Alligator mississippiensis: one gene and its partners. The protein of the gene in region 2 purifies or fractionates together with the protein of the main gene of each other region. This does not show direct contact. Links are inferred from orthologs where the notes say so. Each region holds a gene or a part of one and is shown on either strand. Other genes may lie near its edges.

What was found.
Region 1: the proteins of AATF (region 2) and NGDN purify together in Homo sapiens (affinity purification with mass spectrometry; 3 studies listed by BioGRID and IntAct, with this or other methods). This does not show direct contact. The link is inferred for Alligator mississippiensis from reciprocal best matches to the Homo sapiens genes AATF and NGDN.
Region 3: the proteins of AATF (region 2) and NOL10 purify together in Homo sapiens (affinity purification with mass spectrometry; 4 studies listed by BioGRID and IntAct, counting the BioPlex papers as one, with this or other methods). This does not show direct contact. The link is inferred for Alligator mississippiensis from reciprocal best matches to the Homo sapiens genes AATF and NOL10.

Annotation. Positions count from the first base shown.
Region 1 is NC_081830.1:7,522,590-7,530,454, forward strand, and holds the start of NGDN (neuroguidin), read left to right. Parts: upstream 1-4,846; 5' UTR 4,847-4,944; coding exon 4,945-4,974; intron 4,975-5,064; coding exon 5,065-5,124; intron 5,125-5,334; coding exon 5,335-5,406; intron 5,407-5,999; coding exon 6,000-6,137; intron 6,138-6,618; coding exon 6,619-6,703; intron 6,704-6,798; coding exon 6,799-6,851; intron 6,852-7,285; coding exon 7,286-7,397; intron 7,398-7,865. Other genes in the region: myosin-7, read right to left, coding at 1-37. UniProt on the Homo sapiens protein: Part of the small subunit (SSU) processome, first precursor of the small eukaryotic ribosomal subunit.
Region 2 is NC_081837.1:5,466,373-5,473,855, forward strand, and holds the start of AATF (protein AATF), read left to right. Parts: upstream 1-4,433; 5' UTR 4,434-4,470; coding exon 4,471-4,555; intron 4,556-7,483. UniProt on the Homo sapiens protein: Part of the small subunit (SSU) processome, first precursor of the small eukaryotic ribosomal subunit.
Region 3 is NC_081824.1:29,634,331-29,641,486, forward strand, and holds the start of NOL10 (nucleolar protein 10), read left to right. Parts: upstream 1-4,137; 5' UTR 4,138-4,176; coding exon 4,177-4,242; intron 4,243-4,917; coding exon 4,918-4,963; intron 4,964-5,906; coding exon 5,907-6,005; intron 6,006-7,156.

The DNA.
Region 1 (7,865 bases), on a different chromosome or scaffold from region 2:
CGGCCTCCCCAAATTCTGCCATCTCCGCATCTCCCATGGTGCCTCTTGGGAAGCAAGGGAGGGCTTGTGAGCCAGGCATGGCTGGGCCAGGGCCTCAAACCCCTGGCCTGGAGGCTGGAGGGCCCGGGAGGCAGCTGCCTATAGGAACATGCATTTCCTGCTGCGATCCCACCCCAGAAGCAGTCGCATCTCGGCCCTACCTTGTGTGTCCTGGTGGGTCCTGGAAAGAGGAAGGTGGTGGCTGGGTCTGTCCCCGGGGCTGGAGTCCTGGCAGGGGAAGGGGTCAGCAGGGAGCGGTGGAGACCTCCCCCGCGTGGGCGCAGCCCCTCTGACCAGGCCCGGACAGACACACGTTGTACATGCAGGGAGGTGCACACGGACCACACACACATATAAACACTGGCTGCACACACATGCCCCCCCTACCCCCAGATGGCACACACAAGTCCACACACACACAAGCACCGATTGGACACTCACTGTGCACATCTACATACACATTGCACACATGGATTGCACACATACACATCTGCACATGGATGACACATACCACTTGCACAATTGAGTGCCCTACACACTTATACAGAGCACATACATGTGCAAGGAGACGTGTAGCATACACATTGCACAAGTGCCTACATGAATTGCACATGCTAGTTCACACACAAACACAGATCGCACACACATTGCCCACATACATGTTCCTACAGATTACATGCACACGTACATGCAGACTGCACACACACACAACCACACACATGTGTAGACACACGGATTGCACACACAAGTGCACACATGCAAACATAGGCCCCACACATGCAAGAACACATGCCAATTCCACATGCAGGCGGTGCACTCACACAAGTACACACCTAAGCACAGATCACACACACAGACTGCACAAGCACCTATGCTCACAGACACACACCCCAGTACCCACATGCGTGTCCACACAGATTGTACATGCGTGTGCTTGTAGACAGCGCAAGTGAGGGCATCACAGATGTATGTGGCTTGCACACACGGATGGCACCCCTGCACGTTCACATACCTGAGCGCACCCCCCCGGTAAACCTGTACACACACACATGCATGGACACGCACATGACACCCACCCAAACAAGGTACCCAGGCCCCTGCTCCCCTTCATACCCCCCCTCACCCCATGGCCCCTCCAGGGACACCCCAACCTCCCCCCTGCCCTGGCTGCTTGCCCCCTCCTCACCCCCCCAGGACCCACTGACCCCTGACAGCCTCCCATGCCCCCCCAACCCAAGGGGACCTTCTATGCCCCCACCCAGCCCCAGACACCCCCCTCCAGGACTCATGGACCCCCTAACACCCCTTATAGACCCCCCTGGTATTCCCCCCCCAGCCCCAAACCCCCCCAGCCCACACACCTCACACCAATGCTGAGGGGCCTGTGAGGGCGGCTGTTGAGGGGGCCCCTATATACCCCCTGCCCCCCACCCCTGTGGCAGGGCAGAGCCAGGCCCCCGCCCCCCCAGCCCCACTTCTGTCCTCCCCCCACCGGGGAACAATTGGAAGCTCTCGTCATTGTCCAGGAACGATGAAGAATAGGAACAGGTTTGGGGAGGGAAGGGCGGGGGGGCATCCCAGGCATCCACGGGGCTGGGATTCCAGGGCAGACGGACGCACGGACGCCAGGCCGCAGCCCCTGCCCCCCCACAGCCTGTGGATGCCCTTCACTCCTGAGGCATAGCCCCTGCGCCCCCCACCAGCCCCCTCACTCCTGACCAACAGCTCCCTGCCCCGCCCTGCAATACCCCTCACTCTCCATCAGCAGCCCCCAGCCCCACAGGCTGTGTCAGCCTGGGAAACATTATGGGATGGAAAATTAAATTGCCATAGAAACACGTGAGCACAAGGACCTGGTCCCTCCAGTGAATGGGACCCTGGACACTTGGGTTCTCTCTCAGCTCTGGGTGGGGGCAGCGAGGCCAGAACAAAGGGGTCCTGGGAGCCTGGGTTCATTCCCCAGCTCTGGAGCAGGGGTGGGATCTTGGGAGGGTCAGAGCTAGGGGAGTGGGGGCTGGCAGCCAGGACGCCTGGGTTCTCACCCAGCTCTGAAGGGCAGTGGGGACTTAAGAGGGGGTGTGGGGGGGCATTGGGAGCCTGGATGCCTGGGTCCTTTGTGTCTGCTCAGCTCCCTTCCCCCAGGGCCAGGCCAGACTGACAAAGGACAGGTGGGGGGGACGGGCTTGCTTGGTCCTTGAACAGGTGTCAGGCCCAAATCCCAAGTGTATGGGTGGGGGGGATGGGGCACTGTGCCATTCTTCTTAACCCCTTGTGTGCCAGAGGTCCACCCAGCCTCCCCACCGCCCATTTGGCAGAGGGAACGCAGGTGACCGGGCCCCCAGAAGACCCCACACCCAAGAACCCAGGTGTCCAGGCTCCCCCTCCCTCAGAGAACCCAGGTTTAGGGCTCCCAGACCTGTCTCTCTCTCTCTTCCCCCTATTCTTTTTTCCCCTCCCCCCACAAGGGTAATTTTAGCTGCCACCCCCCCCCACACCCCTCGCAGCATTCCCTGCCCCCCTGACACTCAATCCCCCCTTCCCCATGACGTGAACAAAGGGGCCCAGGACAATAGGAAGGACCTTGAGAAGGACCCGGCCTTATATAGCCGTGCCCGAAAGGCCGGCCAGTATTAATAGCCACTAGCCAAGAATAGAACCCAGGCATCCAGGGAGGGGGAGTCTTCCCCCCTCTACAGCTCACCGGACCCTATTGTCATCCCCAAGGCAGGAGAGAACCCTGGAAACTGGGCCGTGGGGGCGGGGGCAGCCCCCTCCAGCCCAAAGTCCCATTGGTCTTCCAGAGCCCAGAGGGAACCCAGATATCCAGGGGAGACCTCAGATCCAACCCACCAACCCCCCTTACCTCTAAAGCCCACTGGACCCCACTGGTGTCCCAGAGCCCAGAGAGAGCCCAGGGGTCCGGGGGGCTCCCACCCCTGAGACTCCCACTCCCTTCCCACAGCTGGACAGAACCCAGGCACCCGGGCTCCTAGCCCCTTGTTCTACTCCTACTCCCCCCAGCCCAGCCCAGGGCTTGGGGCTGTGGGGAGATAGGGCCCGGATGCCTGGGTTCCCTCTTGACTGGGTGGGGGAGAGTGGTTGGACACCTGGTTTCTGTCTCATGTTTGGGAGGGGAATGGGGTCGGGTCCCCGGACACCTGGGGTCTATCCAGCTCTGGGGTCCAGTGGGTTAGAGTAGGAAGTGCTGAGAGCCTGTGCTCTTAGGTTCTTCTCTGGGAGAGGAGTGGGGGCTGGCATGTTAGAACGGGGGCACGGGGAGCCCGGACACCTGGGTTCCCTCCCAGCTCCAGGAGGCTTTGTGGGGCCGGGCACGTTGGGTGAGGGGGAGCTGAGAGCCTGGTTTCCATTTCATTGAGAGCCTGGACACCTGGATTCCCACTCAGGCCTAGGAGGGCAGCAGGGCCTGGGCGCCTGGAGACCTGGGTCCTGTTAAACCGGGGCTTCCCTTGGCAGTATCCCAGGAAATTCCCCTGCCCTCCCCCCGCACAGCTGGGCGGGGTCCAGGCACCTGCCATTGCCCCCCAGACAATACCCCCCCACCCCTGGTCCCAGTAGGCTGGGTCTCGTGCCGGTATTCGCATACCAGGGGGGCGTTAAAGCCCAGCGTCTGGGCTCCCAGCCCTGTCCCCCCACCCAGCAGGCAGAGTACCCAGGTGTCCTTGGTGCCTGGCCTGGCTGGGACAATAGCCCGGTGCATTCCTTGGGGTGGGGCATTTCCTATTGTCTTGGCCCCAGCTATTGTCATCTGGGCCAGGGGCACCGCAGGGGATGGACCCAGCAGTCCAGGCTCCCCAGCCCCGCTACCCTCCCTAGGCAGAGCGAACCCAGATGCCCGGGACCCTGACCTGCACCCCGGACACCTGGGTTCTCTCCCAGCTCGGGGAGGCTTTGTGGGCCTGGCAGGTTCGGGGAGGCAGGGCTGAGAGCCACCTTCTCGCTCTGAGGGCAACAGAGGTTGAGAGCTGCGATGCCTGGGTTCACTTTCCGCTCAGGCCTGGGCACCCAGACACCTGGGTCCTACGTAACTGGGGCTGCCCTTGGCGGGGTCCCAGGGATTCCCCCCCCCAGCTGGGCGGGGTCCAGGCACCTGCCATTGTCCCCTAGACAATGCTCCCCGCCATGGTCCCAGCAGGCCGGGCCCCAGGCCAGGGGCGTGTGAGAACCCAGGCATCCAGGCTCCCCCCGCCAGGCAGGCAGAGAACCCAGGTGTCCTGGCACCCAGCCCGGCCAGGCTGGGACAATAGCCCGGTGCATTCCCCGGGGCCGGAGCGTTTCCTATTGTCTTGGCCCTGGCCATTGTCATCTGGGCCAGGAGCAGGGCAGGGGAAGGCAGCAGCATCCAGGCTCCCTGCTCCCACCTGGCCCTGCTGCTCTGCCCAACCGGGCGTCCAAGCCCGGACAGCTGGGGGCTCTGCCAGCTCTGGGGGGACACTGGGGTGCAGTGGGCTTCGAGGGTGGGGCACAGCCCCCGAGACCTGGGCTCTCTCCCAGCTCTGGCAGGGGCTGTGGGCACCGCGAGCCGGAGGTCTGGTTTTTTGGGAGGGGCGCAGGGACTAGGGGGTCACGGCACTGGGGCGGGGGCCGGACACCTGGGTTCTCCACCTGATCTGGGGGAGTGGGGCCCCCTCAACCAATCCCGCCGCGCCTCTGCCCTTCGCTCCCGCCCCCTCTCCGCGCCCATTTGTCCGCATCTTCCCCAAAACGGTTCCCCCGCCCCGTTTTCATCTCTCCCGCTCCGTGATTGGCTCGGGCGGCCTGAGGAGGCGGCCGCTGCTGGGCTGTGTCCCTTCCCACTCGCCGTCAGCGTGGCGCACGCGCTGATTGGCTGAGTCGCCCTAGCGGGGCGGAAGCGGGTGGCGGGGCGCACGTGGGCGCGGGACCGGGATGGAGCCGGGCTGTAGTACCGGCCTGCGGGTGAGTGGGGCTCGGGCTCCTGGGACCCGGGGCTCGGACTTCTGCGTCCGCGCTCTATCCTTGGGCTAACCCGCCGCCGCCTCCCCCCAGGAGCAGGTGGTGACTGATCTCCCCCAGGCCTTGGCCCTGCTGACGGCGCTCCCAGAGCAGGTGAGATCTCCCCCATGCACCCCGCCCTGCGGGTGCCCCTCACTCTCGACCGCCCCCCCCCCGCAGCCGAAGTGGATTGAAGCCCGGACGTCTGGTTCCCCCGGGCTCCGGGAGGGGGGAGAACTGTGCCCCAGACATCTGGGGTCTGTTTCCACGGGGGGTGCCCACGTCCTCCTGCCCTGGGTTTGGGTCTGAGCTGCATCTCTGCAGGTGGCCGCTGTGACCGCGCACATCCAGGGGCTGCTGCAGAGGGTCCGGGCTGGCGTCTTCCCCACTGCCAAGGTAGGAGCTGGGGGGATACCTGCCCCCTCCCCCCCCCAACCCATGTTCTCCCTCACCTGAGACCCCCCTCAGACCCAGGAGGGAGCCCAGGCATCTGGGCTCCCAGCTCCCCTGCTGTAGCCAATGAAATCCTGCTCCGCTCCGGGACCCTCTAGGGGACCCAGGAGTCTGGGCTCCCAGCTCCACCTCCACTCAAGCTCACTTGATTTTGCTCTCCTATGGGACCCAGGTGTCTGAGCTCCCAACCTTGCCTTCTCCCAGCACAGGCCACAACCCCTCCCAGAGCTGGGGAGAACCCAGGAGTTGAGTCCTAGCAGATACTTCTTGTTTCTTAGCCTATCAGAACCTGCACTATCCGTAGAGCAGAGAGAGAACCCAGGCACCTGGGCATCCCTTTCAGATCCCACTGCCATGCAGGAGCTGGGCGAACCCAGGCATCTGGATATCCAACCCCCTCTGCTCTAACCCCCAGTTCCTGCCTTGCTCCTGGAGGACTCAGGTTCCCCCTTCCCTTTGCTCTAAACCCCTGGACTCCACTCGCTTCCCAGAGAACCCAGGCATCTGGGCTTCCACATGTCCATCTGTTCCTGCAGGGCCTGAGCTTCCTGGTGCTGCGGCCGCAGCTGCTGCTCTTCTACCTGCAGGACCTGGCGGCCGTGCTGGCAGCCAAGGCGGGGGGGCGCCCGCTGGCCGGCACCGCCTCTCCCCTGCGCCTGGCAGAGCTGCGCACGGTGAGGGGGTGGGGTTAGAAGGGAAGGGCTGGTCTTAAGGTTTGGGGTTGGGGTGTAGAGGGGTATTGAGGGTGGAGCTAGAGGGGTGGGGGTCTGGGGGTATTGGGTGTGGAGCTAGGGCAGGGGCAGGCAAAATGCGGCCCACCAGGCCATTCTATCCAGCTCACAGGGCCCCTAAAAATGTAGAAAATTAATATTTATCTGCCCCTGGATGCCTGTTATGCAGCCCTTGATGGCTTGCCAAAACTCAGTAAGTAGCCCTCCATCCAAAATAATTGCCCACCCCTGGGCCTAGGGGGTGTTGTGGCATCTTGGGGCAGGTGTTGGGAAGGGGTGGGGGTAGAGGGGAGACAAGTGGAGCTAAGAGATGTAGAGGTGTGGGGCAGAGCTAGATGAGGAGGGCTGGAGCTTAGGGGGTGAGGGCTGGAGCTTAGGGGGTGGGACCTTGTAGCGGCGTGGCTCAGCTTAGCCCCACCCCCAGGTGCTGGAGAAGATGCGGCCCATCGACCACAAGCTCCGGTACCAGGTGGACAAGCTGGTGCGGGCAGCGGCCACCGGGGCCCTGGGTGAGTTGGGGGATGGGGCCAGGCACAGGGGGGTGGGGCCAGGCACAGGGAGGCTCACCGCCCCTCCCCCTCCCTGGGGGGCACTCTGTTTGCAGGGGGGGATGACCCACTGCGCTTCCGGCCCGACCCCAGCAACATGGCCAGCAAGGTAAAGGGGGAGGGGGGGCAGCCCAGATGCCTGGGTCCTCTGTGGGGAGAGGGAGCTGGACTCTTGGGCTCTCTAGTGGGGAGGGGGCCCAGACACCTGGGTACTCTGGGTGCCACAGGGGCAAGGGCTCATGGGTTCTCTAGGAGGGGTGGGTGGGCCCAGACGCCTGGGCTCTCTTCCCCTCTAAAGCTGTCATTGTGGTTCCAGTTTGGGGAAAGGGGTGGGCTGAAAGGTCAGAGCAGGGGAGGTTCCTGGACTCCTGGGTTCATTGGGAGGGGGAAGCATTAGATCACTGGGGGCTCTGAGCCCAGACACCTGGGCTCTCCCCACTTTACAGAGGGTGTGGGGGGGGTGGGGACAAGTTACAGCAGGGGTTTCCCTGGATGCCTGGGTCCTCTCCTGCTCCCGGTGCCTCATTTCCACACCCCGCACAGCTGAGTGAGGATGAAGAGGAGGTGGCCAGTGGCCCAGACCCTGGGAAGAAACCCGCAGCTGCAGGAGGGATCCGGAAATACATCCCACCCCGTCTGGTGCCGGTTCACTATGGTATGTTTAGACAGAATGGGGCAGCCTGGGTTCCTTTGTCTGCAACACAGCGGGGGCTGGCTAACAGGCCCCCAGTGCCCCCACACCCTGGAGGTCTGTGTCAGCTTGAGGGGGGGCACTGTATAACCAGCCCTTCGGCCCTACTCTAGAGTCAGCTGCATCTGGGTGCCAGGTGAGGGCTCCCTATTAGACATGGCCACCCTACCCATCATGGGCATCTCAGTACTGGTTCCCTGTATGCCTAGCACATCCCACCCCAGAATCAGGTGCATCCTGGTATTGGACAGGGGCTCCCCTTGCATCCAGCCATCCTACCCCAGATCTAGCTGCATCTTGACAATGGATGAGGGCTTCCTGTTATGTGGGCCATTGCACCCCAGACCCAACTGCATCTCAGAGCTGAGTTCCTGTATGCCCAGCATGGCTCACCCCAGAATTAGCTGTGTCTTGGCACCAGATAGGTGTGGC
Region 2 (7,483 bases):
ACATTATCTACTGGAGAAGAAGTGTGTGAAAATAGTGTAAATACTATTTATATTACACCAACTTAAATTAAGAAGATATTTCTAATGGATAATTTGAATGATCTTAACCTATTGAGTCTCCAGCATTCAAGCAATTCTTCTTTTGTTACAAACCGTGTACCATATTTTACTCTGCTCGCTCTCTGTGAAACTCCCATAGATGTCGGTATCAGCTTAATTTTTCCTTTAGTAATTTCTGTTATCTATTTACTCAGGCCTTTGCTTGAGGGCGTAGTAGGGGGATTTGTAAAGATCAGTATCCCTGGAGTAAAAATGGTCTTCCAGTTATGATTTGTAGACAAATTATGTATATTATTTTAATATATGAACCTGTGCCCAGATAGAGCGATGGGCACATGATACAAATCTATAAATAAATTTAATTTCAAAATATGATCAATGATATACATACTTTTGCTATTCAGGGAAAGGACCAAAACGACATTGTCTACTCAGGCAAAAATTCCATTAGCTGCAATTTGAGATTTTTCCATGAACAAAAGTGATATGATTAGGTCTTGTGCTTTTATCATATTACTTAGAAGGAATTGCAGTTTCTATTTTAGTTACCAGCCTTGCAAACAGACCTTTATAAGACTTCAGTTATGTTTAAGGTTAAGTAAGGCACGTGGACATACAAATCTAGACAATGCTGTGTAACAGAGAAGACAAAGTATTGAAAGGTTACATACATCATGAAACACAAGTGTTAAATTCAAGAGGAATCAGCTTGGGAAAGTCTTCTGTTTGTTTATATGTTATTATGTTGCTACTGTACTTGAGTGGACAGTAGTTATTGCAGAAGTATTATTACTTGCTTTGCTAAGAAGGCCAAATATAATTTTTAATTATAATCTGGAGGGCAGGTCTGGGAAAGTAGGGCCTTGGTGCACAGAGACTGCTGAAAATGGAACATTTTACAGAGATTGATGGGAGGATGCAGTCTTATGTGGAACTGAATTTTCAATTAGTGAAGCCACTGTTGTATTTAATATCACTGAATAAGGGAGAAAAATAAGAGAGGACACTTTTTAGGTCAACCGATTGTTTGGAATTTTATTTATCATATTTGGTGTATACATTTGTCTTAAGTGTGCAACCAGATACATAGTTGTGCATCCAAATGTTGGAATGTGTCTCTTGGAGCTTTGTCATCTATATCAACAGTACTTCATTGGGTGGAATGGGGTGATTTGCTTCTCTTAGACGTGTTGTTTCAGGTTGGCTGCAAATGCAGGAAAATCATTCTGCACTAGTTACATTGGGTTCAACGTTTGCAAGGCAGGTTTTGCAAGCATTAGCATCAGGAACATCCTGTTTTGTGTGGGTATGTGTGGGTATTTATTTAATGGAAGTTTGGACTCTAGGGCCAGACTCTATAGGGGAACTGATGAATACTTCAGGCAGGCTGAATTCAGAAATTTGGCACCACTAATGTAAAGGACTCAGATTTGCCACTGAGCTGCAAGCAAATCTGCCATGACTTTGCTGAGTGTTTCACATATGGCATTATGTCCCCAGTGCAGCAAAGCTCTTTAAGCATATGCTTAAGTTTAGGTAGAAAACATAGCCCTATGTCTTCTCTGGGATTTTAAGAGTAAGCATATGCTTAAAAGCTCTGTTGACCTGCAACCTTGGGGGGGGGGGTGGCTAAGTGTGTGAAAAAAGCCCTCTTGCACACGTGTACTTTGCACATAGGGCATAAATGTTGCATTCTCATTGTTGTCTGCAAATACAGAGTATACTCACTTGCTGTGTGTGGGAGATGCCCTTGGTCAAGGATATACATGACTCCCTCAAAAAGAATTTATCCTAATTTTTATTTGGCCTCGCTCTTCCTATGACTAACATCTTTAAGCACTGCCTGGCTCTATTTTAAATGTGTTAAATAGATTAAAAAATTCAAGAATATACAGTAGGGTTGGAACTTTCACTGGTAGTTGGGTGTTTCAACTCCTTTCAGCACTTTTTGATAATCTTACCCTCAATAAATGAAAGGACAGATGAAAAAATATATCATGTACCAGCTACTGCCCTTGTATCTCTATTAGAACTGAAGAAAAATGTTTGTTGTAATCAATTTTGATTTTCTTTTAGAAATTCAATATTCTATCTTTTGGGTTTTTGGTTTGTTTGTTTTTTAAACTGTGAAGTTTTGGTGCTTCTCCCTCTCTTGTTTTTTCCTGTCTCCCTTTTTCCAGTGATTACATTTTGCTGCTGGAAACATTTTCTTTCACATATAGAACCAATATAATTTAAAGCCAAAATATTCTGACTAAAGTGAAAATGTGTGTTTTGGGAGAAAAAAAAATGACACTTCCCATTTCATTGTTCTCAGGGGGAAAGGGTTAATTAGCTCTTGTCCCTAATTATTTTAGGGCTGTATACTGCTCTGTATACAGAATTCAGTTGTGAGTCAGTAGATGTACCTCTCAGGCATGCAGTTCCCATTGATACGTATAGGAATTCTGTCAGAGACTGATGCTTGTATGCTGCAGTCCGGCTTGCAACACCACCTGCTATCTGATAAAGGTAAGAAACAATTGCTGAGTGATATTGAACACTGAAATGTTACACAGAAGAGCAGCAAAGTATTCAGTGTAGATGTCTGGATGTTTTCTATCTCTATAGATTTCCCCATTTTTGCATTTATAGAAAGAAACTCTTATGAAAAGGCTATGCCTTATTATTAAATGTATGTATTTATACAGCACCCAAAAATGTCCCATGCTGTCATTGGTTCATCAAGGCTGACATCTTGACAGTTTCCCAAATACTAACAAGCCACATGCATTAAGAGCAAAAAAGGAAACATGGGCGTGAGAAACGAGAGGAGGAGGATTTTTACAGTATATTCTTCCAAAGCCTGCTTGTGCATCTTTATATCAATATTTAAATTTTGGCAAATAAACAAGTAGATTTGCCGTAAAATTCAAAGCGAAACTACGCTAGGAACAATGTCAATATGTTTTCAGTTCGCAGACGGAAAGGGTTTTGCGTTGCCTAATATGAATACGAAATGCTTTCGTGGTTATCTAAAAAAAAAAAATAAAAGAAAATGAATTTATATTGTTTTTGTTAATATTTATCCAAACAGTCTTTTGCCTGATAACGAATCCAAACAGCAGCAGCAGCAGGATGGTTTTAGGGCATGTGAACCAGGAACTGAAACCGACTAGTGTGTCTGCCTGTTTTAATTATCCAAGCTGAGTGAAATGCACAAAGGAAAGAAAATGAATGGTAACGTGGCACTGGGATTTTCGAACCGTTCTAAGCAGCGATGATTTTAGCGGTAATTTGTGTGTGCGTTTGGTTTGGTTTTATACGGACAATATCTTGCCCTCGGATTCGAGCCGGCACGACAAATATATTGAATCGCTTTCAGAACGGGAGCGGACGCGCCCTGCACCTCGCGCTGCAATTTACACCGCTGCAAATTTGACACGGAGCCGCTAGCGTTTTACGCCGACTTTGCCCCAGGCGCAGAATTAGGCCTGTCGACTCCAATAGGATCGGTCACGTTTCGTGTTATACACGAGCTCAAACGCTTCGCTGGACGGCGGGACGCTCGGCGCAACAATAGCCCCATTGATCTCAACGGGTGACATCCCGGTCCTATTGAAGTCAGTAACAAAAATCCCATTGACATCAGCAGGGCCAAGATTTCACCCGAAGGGTGAAAGGGTGAAATCTTTTCCCCGTGGCTATCACGGTGGATCGGGGGCATGTATCTAACCAGCCCTAAATGCCTTTTTTCACCCCCTCTCTCGACCCATAGGGATCTTTTGTATTTTGAGGGGAGGGCAGTAAGATTCACAGACTCCTAAATTCACCCCTCCTGCACTTTGTAGCGTCACGGTTTCGGAAACGCAATTCGGTAACGGCACGTTGTCCGTAGCCCCCAAAACGGTTGAATATTGATCACGACCCCCACAGGTAAGCATCGATTTCATTTTCCCGGAGGTGTTTGTACATATTTCTTAACTATCTGACGTGTTTTTTTCCTGCTTCTGGAAACTAATCGTTCCTTTAAAAAAAACCCAACCACCTCAGACTATTAAGGAGACAGTGCGTTTTTGGGGCTGCCTGATACCAAATAAGGTCCTTCTTTGAGGGGGGGGGGTTGCAAAAATGCAACCTGGCAACAAAATGTATGTGGGACCCCCCCTCAGAAATCAGGGTGCAATGGGGGGGCAGCTAAAACTGGAGGGAGGGGGTGTTTCATGTGTGAGCCACATAGGCAGGGACACGGTTTTGATGAGGGGGCTGCACTCGTGGCACCGCACGGCCACGCTGAGGGAGCCGCGTGGGTGGTTGGGGGGGGGAGGGGCGGTTGTGCCTCAGCCCCGCCGCGCGGCGACCGTTAACGGCTGCGCGTGAGGCGCGCGGGGGGAGGGGCGGCCCCGCCCCGCGCGCCTCCCTCGGCCCAAGATGGCGGCGCCCTTGGCTGAGCAGTTGGAGCTGCTGCTCGACCCCCGGCCCCGCGCGGGCGACCCCGAGGACGACCCCGAGGACGGTGAGGCGGGGGCAAGGGGAGGGAACGGGGGAGCAGGCGCGGCCTATCGCGGCCCCCACGTGGGGCCGGGCCCCGAGGAGCCTGCGCGGCGGCCCTGTCCCCTCCTAGCTGCCCCGGTGCAGCCTGTCTCCTCCCCGTCCACACGCACTGTGCCTAGGGTAGCCCTCACAGCGGACAGCCCGCGTGTCTGTCCTCTATTCATACGACACCCGACCCCTTTCTGTCGTCTTGAAGAGAAAAATAAGAGCGTGGCCCAAATCCACCTCCTTCCCGTTCGAGTTTCTTCAAAGCCATTGTGTCCCTTCCGTTCCCGTGGACGCACGGCGCCAGAGCAAAATAACGCAGCGGTGGGAGACATTAATAAAAGCTTTGATTGTTTTCACTTTTCTGATGCCGTTATTTTCCTGCTCCCCCCCTCCCCCCTCCGGTTTTCTCTCTCCTTTCTCAGGCACTTGGCCTGCGCTAGTAAGAGAATTAAACGTTAACGGCGACGGCGTGCGGTAGCCCCGTTGCGTCTCCGTTAGGTACGAGGAGAGCCGTCGGGCTGCACCAGAAAGGCCGTGTTTGCGTCCGTTACTATTTCAGGCTTGAGAAATAACACGGATAATTTAGCCGAAGAGAAGAAGATGAGCGAACACGTATACCAATGCAGGCCTGGGGCAGTTGATTGGTGAGAAGTCTAGCCCTGCCGCATATATCTTTAGAGAAAAGGAGGGGCTGGAAAGGCCCTAAAGCCATGCCAACTTCAGGTTTAATAGTGCCGTAAGTCTTCTTGTCCCTGAGGAAAGGGTTTATGCCACTTCTCTTGCCACCCAGTCCCAAGGCTGCCTGCGCCTCTAACCTGCCCTCCAATGAGTCTCCCATTTTGGATCTTTCCTCCCATTTTGGACCTTTCTCTCTTACGAGTAGCTCAAGGTGCTGCCTCAGCTCTTGTTTTGCCAAGCAAGAGGGGAGTTCAGGTTTTATCTACGCCGGTAGCAGAAAAAGAAGCGCATCCCCACTCGCAGGCTCTCTGCAGGCAGAGTAGCACCATCTCCCCCAGCAAAAGAAGACTTCTGCCGGCTGCTGTGGTCCTTTAGCAGCTGGTGCCTTCCCAGGTGCTCTTCACACTCTGCTGGCACAGCTGTTACAGCGGAGCCATGGGGAGCCATCAGAAGCCGTGCAGATGTGAAGCAGCTGTGGTGATTTGCTGTCTGCTGCCAAAAGTTTTGATGGCAAAAGCAGCTTGGTACAGACAAGGTCTCCTTTAACTGGATATACTGGATAGGTATTTGTCTTCACTGCTACTCCTAATCTCAATGTGAGCCATAAAACTGATGGGAGATGTTATTTTCACCTCCCCCAGCTTGGGGAAGGGTCTGTCCATCAGTTATAGTCCTGGTCTGTACCTAAAAGGCCTGGTATAGCTCCGTTGGCTGCGAGTGTGGATAAATCATGCCCCCAGCTGTATAGTCCAAAGCTGTAGGATAGACATAGTTGTACAGTAAAAGACTATTTTGACTAGCGTAGGTCTGGTTTAAGATGCTGATAAAAGCTATGTGAATGTGCCAGCAAGGGTCTGTAGTGCAGAGATCACACATGTCATGTGCTAACACTGTAATCCCTTTCAGGTAGGCCCGTTTTTATTATGCCGATTTGGTATCTAGCAGAGTGGAACCCTGATCCTTGGCTGATTGATAGACAATAACACCATAAGCATCGATCAGGAATTGCTACTAAACTTAAACCATATTTTAAGAAAAGTTTCAAGTCTTCCCAGACAGAGGAGAAATGTGGTCCTTTACTGATATAGCTGTGCTGGTGGGAACCTCCCTTGTAGATGCAGTTATCAGAGATGCAGATTGAAATTTTGGTTTGCTTATTGTGGGTTGATGCCCCTGTACCAAAACACTCTACCCCCTCTTGCCCCCCCCCACCCAAAAAACAAAACAAAACAGCTTTAGCGGTATAGCTGCATTCACCCTGGAAGTACTATGCTGGCATTCCTCTGCTGATTGAGCCCTCCTAGTGAAGACAAGGCAGTGCGTATAGGAGACAAATGGAGTTAGAGGAGGCCAGGAGGATGAGTTGACTTAACATGTCTAGCGCCTTAAATTGGAGCACCTGAGCTGCCTAGGCTACTACTTAGTATACTCGAGACGAATGAATGTTTCCTGCTACCTTAATCTCAAGTTTTCTGCGTGCCTCTGTTTTGCCTCTAGGGAGAGTGCAGTTTTTGAGAAATTAGTTGCTGGCAGAGTAACATGACATGAAAGTCCCTTTTTAGTTTCTAAAGTGATACCTGCCATTTCCTCCTGCATCCATCCCAGAACACCAGTACAGAGTGTCTTCAATAGCCAACTAAGCCAAGGATTTCTGGCCTGTCTCCATGACCCAAGTTATTGTGTTCAGACACAGTTCTGAAGAGTTGAGGTTAGCTATCGCAGTGCTTGGTGCCATTGGCCTGGTATAGCCTGACTGGTGTGCCATGGTCAGCATGCAGTCCGTTAACTTGACTCATACTGTTGTGTGTGACAGTAATACCCTGTCAGGCTGACACAATCTCATTAACCATTGAGAAACCAAGTAGGGTATGATTTTAGGTTTTTTCTGATTCTGAAGGAATGAGTTCTTGCGTCTGACCTTGTGTTTGCCTAACATCAGTTCTTGGATGTTCCTGCCATGGGACCTGCATATGTGGCCTTGCAGGTTCTCTGGTACCTGTCCTCTCTCCCTGTCTGTCCAGTTTCTCTCTTGTATCAAAGCCCATTGCCCTGGTGCCAGGTGTCTTGCCCTCTTGTCACAGAGGGTGAAGGCAGGCTGATCGGTTGTAGCTTTTTCTGGAAAGTACTGTAGTTGTGTGTTTGTGGCTTAGTGAATAGTGTGATGAGAGGCCCCAGTTCTGCCCTTGCCCTCTGTGGGACCTTAAACAAATCATTCACTTCTTTC
Region 3 (7,156 bases), on a different chromosome or scaffold from region 2:
ATGTGATTTACCCACATTTTCTGAAATTTCGCAACACCTGAGTGATGTTTCTAAACCAAGAACCAGTACGTTAATTGTCTTCTCTACATAGAGGAATTGGGCACAAGCTATTTTGCTCCGACCTGAAATGTGGAATTCAAGATGTAATGCAAAGGAGATGTATGTGGGCATTTAGATGCATACATTTGTCTGCCCTGATGTGCTGGAGATCCAGCACATCAGAGTAGACTCGATTAATTGAGTCAACTCCGCACGTGAGCTGACACACCCTGTGATGTGTTGTGTGCATTTGTATAAATGGCAAAATACAGGTCAGCTCTGAGAGAATGGCAGCAGTGCACTTTTGAACTAAAACTTTCAATGTATTTTTGTTTGAAAGCCTGCTGCTGCCATTTTCTCAGTGCTGATGCACATTTTACCGTTTATACAAATGGATGTGCTGCAGCACCGGGTGCTTTTAAAAGTGCCTGGCGCTGCAGCACAAGTACAAATGCCCATGGGTTTAAGAAGACTGTTAGGCATAGAGTTGATTGGCCTGTTTAATGCTGTTTGTAAAGGAATTATGATTGTTTCTTTAATTGTGTGCTTAAGTTTAGTTTGAAGACTATACCATGGATCCATCACTGTAAAGCAGCACAATTCTGACTGTGAACTGGATTTCCAAGGATATAAACTGGAAGATCCAAGCTATTTGCTTTGAACTGCAGAAAGCGCAATATATGCTATTACTAGGGACCTACTGAATTCATGACGCTGCAGTTTTCAGGGAAACCACAAAACTGGTATGTCCCTGTGAAAAAGGTAGATCCATTCTACCACAAAAATGGTGATTGGCACCACACTTGGACTGCAAAATCAGGGGGGGGCAGCCATCCCAAATTTGCTATGTCCCTGGTTATTACTGTAACAGGGTATGCTACATAGTGCTTATTCTCCTGAGAAAATTTAGCTTAGGGTGTGTCAAAGCTAGGTGCTGTGCATGTACTTAAATTCCTAGTAATATTTTACATAAGATGATCAAAACTGGAGGAAAAGGCCTTCATGGTATATAGAGACTATACATTAGAAGTTACAAAAACCCTGCTTAAGGGTTTCTTTGTAAGAAATCTAAATGCCTTGAGTTAGGCTATGGTGAAAAGACCAACACTATTAGTAATATCAAATATTAATATCTGTAAATAAAGTATCAACTAAAAATGTGTCTATGAAAAGATCTTTGCAAGTCATAAACAAAAATGACAACTAAGACCTGGAGGATCTTTCAAATGGATTGCATTCTTTTCAAATAATGCTCTGAAGGAACACCTGTTTTCTGTCAACTTGTGGGCTGTGTATATTTTTAAAAACAGAAAAACCTGGTGAAAATAGAGTCCTGTGTTTATAATAAAGCAAAGGATATGAAGGCATTTGGAATCGATCCTGACCAATGGAAAACCTTGGCAGGTGATTGTAACAAGCATAGATGACTGATAGAAGGTGCACAGGGGTGCGCATGCCCCCCCCCCGACAGGGCCGGTGGCCCCCCAATGGCCAACACCGATGCTGTTGGTAGGGCCGGTGCTCCCCCTGACAGGGTCGGCGCCTTCTGTGGGTGTCCCCCAGAGATTCAGAAGGCACCAGTCTCTCATGGTAACAAGTGGTGTTGTCATTGTCTCCACCAAGGCATCAAAATCCACAACAGAAACTGTCTCCAACAAGTTGAAAAGAAAAGAGTCCATAGGAAGCAAGCAGCTCCTAAACCACCCAACCGTGACATACATTTGTAACCACTGCCACAGATCATGCAAATCTCGAAATGAACTATTCATTCACATGAGACACTGCAAACCATCTATATCATAGGCTGCAATATCCATCATCTCCCATAGACTAAAGGATACCAAAGAAACCTATCTTGCAGCATTATAAAGGATAGCAGTTAAAGCCATGTGCTTTCCCTTCTTTTTGTTTTTACAATAAATAAATAAATACAAGCTTGTTTCTGCCAAGTGGAGAACATTTACACTGATTCAAACCCCCTGAATGGACTTGGGACAAACTGGTTTAAGTAGCACAGTTGAGTTGGTCTGGGTGGGCAGTTTTGACTTCAAGCGCAGCAGCTGTTGGCACATACATAGTTTCTAGTTCAAGCAGCTGACATGGTCCAATGGAGTTACAGGTGTTGCATCTTGGGGAAAATTGTTAAAGCTCACGAAGGACCTCTCACCAGCTTTTAAAATGGTCAAACTGTCTCTGGCAGGAAAAGGTAATTATGATAACTGTTCTTTCTAGGATGGAAGGACATAATCTAAGTAAGATTTCTCTTGACACCAGTCTTACAAAGGGCGGTTAGCCTCAAACCATCTACACATGCTTGTGGTGTGTGCATTTGTATAAATGGCAAAATGTGCGTCAGCGCTGAGAAAATTGTGGCAGCGTGCTTTTGAACTAAAACACATCGAAGGTGTTTTAGTTTAAAAGCACACCGCTGCCATTGTCTCATTTATACATTTGGTTTAAAAGCAAGCTGCTGCCATTTATACAAATGCATGTGATGTTGTGCTGGTCGCATTAGCATGTCTGTGAAGCAGACTTGATTAATGGAGTCTGCTCTGAAGCGCTGGATCTCTGGTGTGTCGAAGCAGACGAATGTATGTGTATAAATATGCTGCATTTTAAAGAAACTGATCTGCTCTAGCCGGGCCCCTGGATTCGCTTTTGGGACCCCTTTATCCCAAGTGTTCTTTGCCTGTCTCTTACGTGCCTCCCGCTCGCCCCTCCAGCTTCCTCACCTATTGTATTCTAACCACTCCACTTCGTACTCTGCGCTGCCCCTTCATGGCCTGGTAGAGCAAACTTGGATTCACATATATGTGTTCGTGTATGTGTATGTGTGCATACACATACATATGTACATATATGTATGTACATATGTGCATGGGTGACTGGTGCCACCTTAGTCAGGTGGGGCATGTGAACCCCCAGGTCAGGGGGATCGGCCAAGGTGTGTCCTCCCTTGGCCGATCTTGCTGACCTGGGCAGGGGGAGTGTCGCGAAAACGGCCGCGAAACGGCTGATAGCTGTGACCACATCTGGAAGTGGCTGTGGCCTTTTCTGGGAGCGCCACGGTGCTCCACTCCCCGGCCAGTGCTTGAAGGGGAGGGCACCGGTGCTCCTGCCTGCCCCCCTACCCATCGCCTACGTGGCAAGCATGGCCAGTCACGGTGTGCACCGGTGCTCTCAGGGGGTGCACATGCACCCCCGTGCACCTGCTACTCATCACCACTGCATGTGTGTATCTATGTATGTGCATGCAGAAGCATGTGTGCCTGCATGTCTGCATGTGTACGTGCATGCATGCACACGTATGCATGTGTACATTTGTACGTGTATGTAGGTGCATGCATGTATATGTGTATATGTGTACGTACGTATGCATGTATCTATACGTGTGGATATGTACATGTGTATGAGCACATGCATATGTTCATGCATGTACATATATGTGTATGTGTACACTAGTATGTGTACGTATGTACCCGTGTAGCTATACTGTACACAGAGCCGACCCTAGAGGGGTGTGGGGCTTGGGGCAAATCCTCCTGTGTGGGAGCCCCCTTTAACACTGTGTGAGGTCACGGTAACCCCGCAAAGAGTTGGGGGCAGTCTTTGTCCTTCTCTGTGCTTCTTCCATGGCGTGGGGCAGAGCTGCCAGCTCCAGGCGGGCCCTGGGGGATGGGCTGCGGCCTGGGGAGGCTCCGTGGGGCCCTCCCAAAGCGCGGGGCCTGGGGCCATCACCCCGATTTGCCTAAGCCTAGGGACAGCTCTGTCTACATGTGCATGCATGAACATACGTGTACATTTGTACCTGTATGTGCATGTACGTACACATGTAGCTGTACGTGTGGATATATACACACATGCGTGTACATTTGTACATGTACGCACGGGCATGTATGTATACACGTGTATATATGTACGTACATATGTCTGCGTGTGTCGAGATATATCTATACAGACACGCACACACGTGCTCCCCCGCACGCCGGGCCCCAACGCCGGCCACCACCCCCGGGTCAAAGAGCCCCCGGAAGCGCGGGGGGCGGGGCTGCGCTGCGCTGCGCTGCGCGGAGGGGGCCCGGCTGACTTCCGCTTGGCCTTTGACCCGGCAGTAAAGTCCGCGCAGGCGCCGGCGCCATGCAGGTCTCCAGCCTCAACGAGGTGAAGATCTACAGCCTGAGCGCAGGCCGCAGCCTGCCCGAGGTGAGCGCGGCGGGGCGCGGGGCCGCTTCGGAGTCGGGAGAGCCCGGGGGCAGTTTCCGGCCGCGCGGGGCGGGGATTGCCACTGCGGGCCCGAGCGTGAGCGCCCCTGTGCCCGGCACTGCTGCTGCACCCCGGGGTGGTGCCCCACGGCAGCGGCTCCCAACCTTGTCTATACCAGGACCCATCTGTAAATACTAGTGCTGTCTCTCCCTCCCTCCTTGCCGCCCCCAGCCTCCCAGGGTGGGCGGCCTGGAGGCCCCTCGCAGGCCGGAGCTCTGAGCACCGAGATGGGAAGGGGTGGAAAGCTGTTTTGGGGAACTGTAACTCTTTTAGTTTTGATGGGGGTGGGGGAGAAGTAGAGCTCGGCTCCTTACGTGCATGGGGATTCCAAATGTGAATTATTAAAATAATAGATGCATTTAAACTCTTAAGTACACTGTGTTTAAGTTTTCAGTGATGTTTTAAAGATTATGAAGCATAACATTGCTCAAATTATTAAATTAAATAATAGGTATTCATGCACGTGTTTGATGTGTTTGTTTGAGACAACGAATACAGAAATATTAATAAGACTGCCACTTCCTCACTTTGTTTTATTGGTAAATTTGATAAGCCTAACTAACTCTCCCTCTGCCTTCCTTTTAAATATTGACAGCTACAGTTTTTCTTTTATAGTGGCTTTCTGATAGGAAGAAGAGAGCGCTCCAAAAGAAAGATGTCGGTGAGTTGCCTTCAGCACATACTGTTCAGCAGTAATGGGTTGTGTTTATGGAGACCAAAGAGCTTTACAGGCTGATTTAAGAATTGATAGCTTTTTGGCTCTTGTGTGTTCGTTGCTAGTTATTTCTGGCTGTGCAAGTTGATCTAGATAAGGGGTCAAGAAAGAGTGTTTCCTTTTTTTCAGTGCTGGGTGAATTATATGTTCTTCTTGAATTCCTGTGAAGCTTTAGTTGCTGGTTGCTCTAGTCTGGGAGGTTTAATGGCAGATTTGGTCTACCACTTCTACATGTACATTATGTTAAGGACTGTCCACATTAGAGAAGGTGATGGATGTGATCCTCAGGGCAGTGTGACCGGATAGACTCTTAAGTACAAGGCAGGGCGACTGCATATTCTCCCTGCAAAGTACCCGGAACAGAACATTCTGCTGCTGGGTCTGGTATTGAGCTGGAGATATAAAATGGCACACATTCATTTAGCTGCCTCTTTTTCCCTCAGAAGCCATGATCTTTAAAAAATGCAAACAAAGCCTTCCACTCTCCCTTTTGCCCAGAGCAGAGTGCCTCTTTAGTCTGGGATTTATTTTTAACTTTGTGTAGTATTTAGATGCAATTGTGATAAGTGGCATATGGAACTTGTGAGAGGTAAGTGTGGGGTAGGTATTACATGAGTGTAGTAGAGATAATGGCATAAGCTATACAATTTCTCAGTTATGTAATCATAAAGAGTCATACAGCATGTTCATTTTATATGCTGATGTAGTATGTATTGCTTTGCGTTGATGCTGTTCACTTCTGAGTGCTAAACAGAACTCATTAATTTCCTTATGTTAACTGTACATAAAAATGAGGGATGGCTTTTCTTATATTTGGTGTATAATAACTTTCTATAAGAAATAAATGCCCCGTTTTTAAAGGCAAATGTTTTCCTTAATTTTTTTAAAGATCTTCGAAGAAGAATTGAACTTATTCAGGACTTTGACATGCCTACAGTTAGCACAAAAATTAAAGTGTCAAGGGATGGACAGTATATCATGGCAGCTGGTAAGTAAATTAAATGTTTGCTTATAACAGAAGCTAAAAATGCTAGATGTCCTTGACATAGAGTAGGGGTAGGCAATGTTTTTTGGCCTGAGTGCCAAAAAAACCCCACAGTGCCTACTTTGAAAGGTGCTGGAGTGCCGGCATGCCAGAAAAACAAAACAAGGGCAGGTGGCACATGGAAGGATGCCCTGCTTGTGCCCTGCCCCCCAGCCCAAGCTCCGTGGCTATCAGCAGCTACCCAGAACCTGGGCCAGCTGCAAACAGCTGCTGTTTCCCTGGCCCTGGCCTCAGCTGCCTCCCAAACCCAGCCCCGGGCACCAACAGGGCCACAAGGCTGTGGGTGGGGTGTGAGGGGTACTGGCAGGGCTGTGGGTGGAGAGTGAGGGGCAATAGCATAGGCAGGGCACCAGCATATCAGGGCTGCTCAGCCCCACAAAACAGTGGTGGGGGATAGCTGCAGCTGGACCCGTGTCCGGTCAGGGAAGAGGGTAGGTGGAGCTCTGATTTTGCATGTTAAAAACCTCCCAAATCAAATGCCAATATTTATAAGCGTTTAGAATTTATTTTATTATAGTGATTGAAGCACCGGCAGACTTCCAGGTTAATATATTTACAATTTTAAAGCAATAAAACACTATGTTCAACTGATACCTATATATAGTGATTTTTGGGATTTTAATCAAAGAATTTGAGATTTTTTTTTTAGCAGAGAATTTGCGATTTTTAAACAGAAAACCAGGATCCCTGTTCATAACTAAAGAAAAATAATCTTTCTTTCTCTATCTGTGGGTACTTCAGTCATTTGACTGAAATGTTGCCCATACTGTTGCGTCTCTAGTTACAATAATACTATCTACATTTTCATAAATCAAGGGTTTGCTTTAAACGGATGGGCTGCCTACTCCTAATAATTTTTTATAGAGGTAACGAATAAGCTGTACAGATTTTAGCAGGAACGATCATCTTGAATACTGCGTATCAGTGGTTCTCTAACTCTTGAATTTAGCAGTACCATCTGTAGAGGGAGCCCTCTTCTCTCCCCCCCCCCCCCCCCCCCCCCCGGTGTTTCCACACACCCTTTCTCCCCCCCCAGCATTTAAAAGCCCAGGGGTTGCCATCACACCCATTAAAGAGTGCAGGGGTGGGGTGAC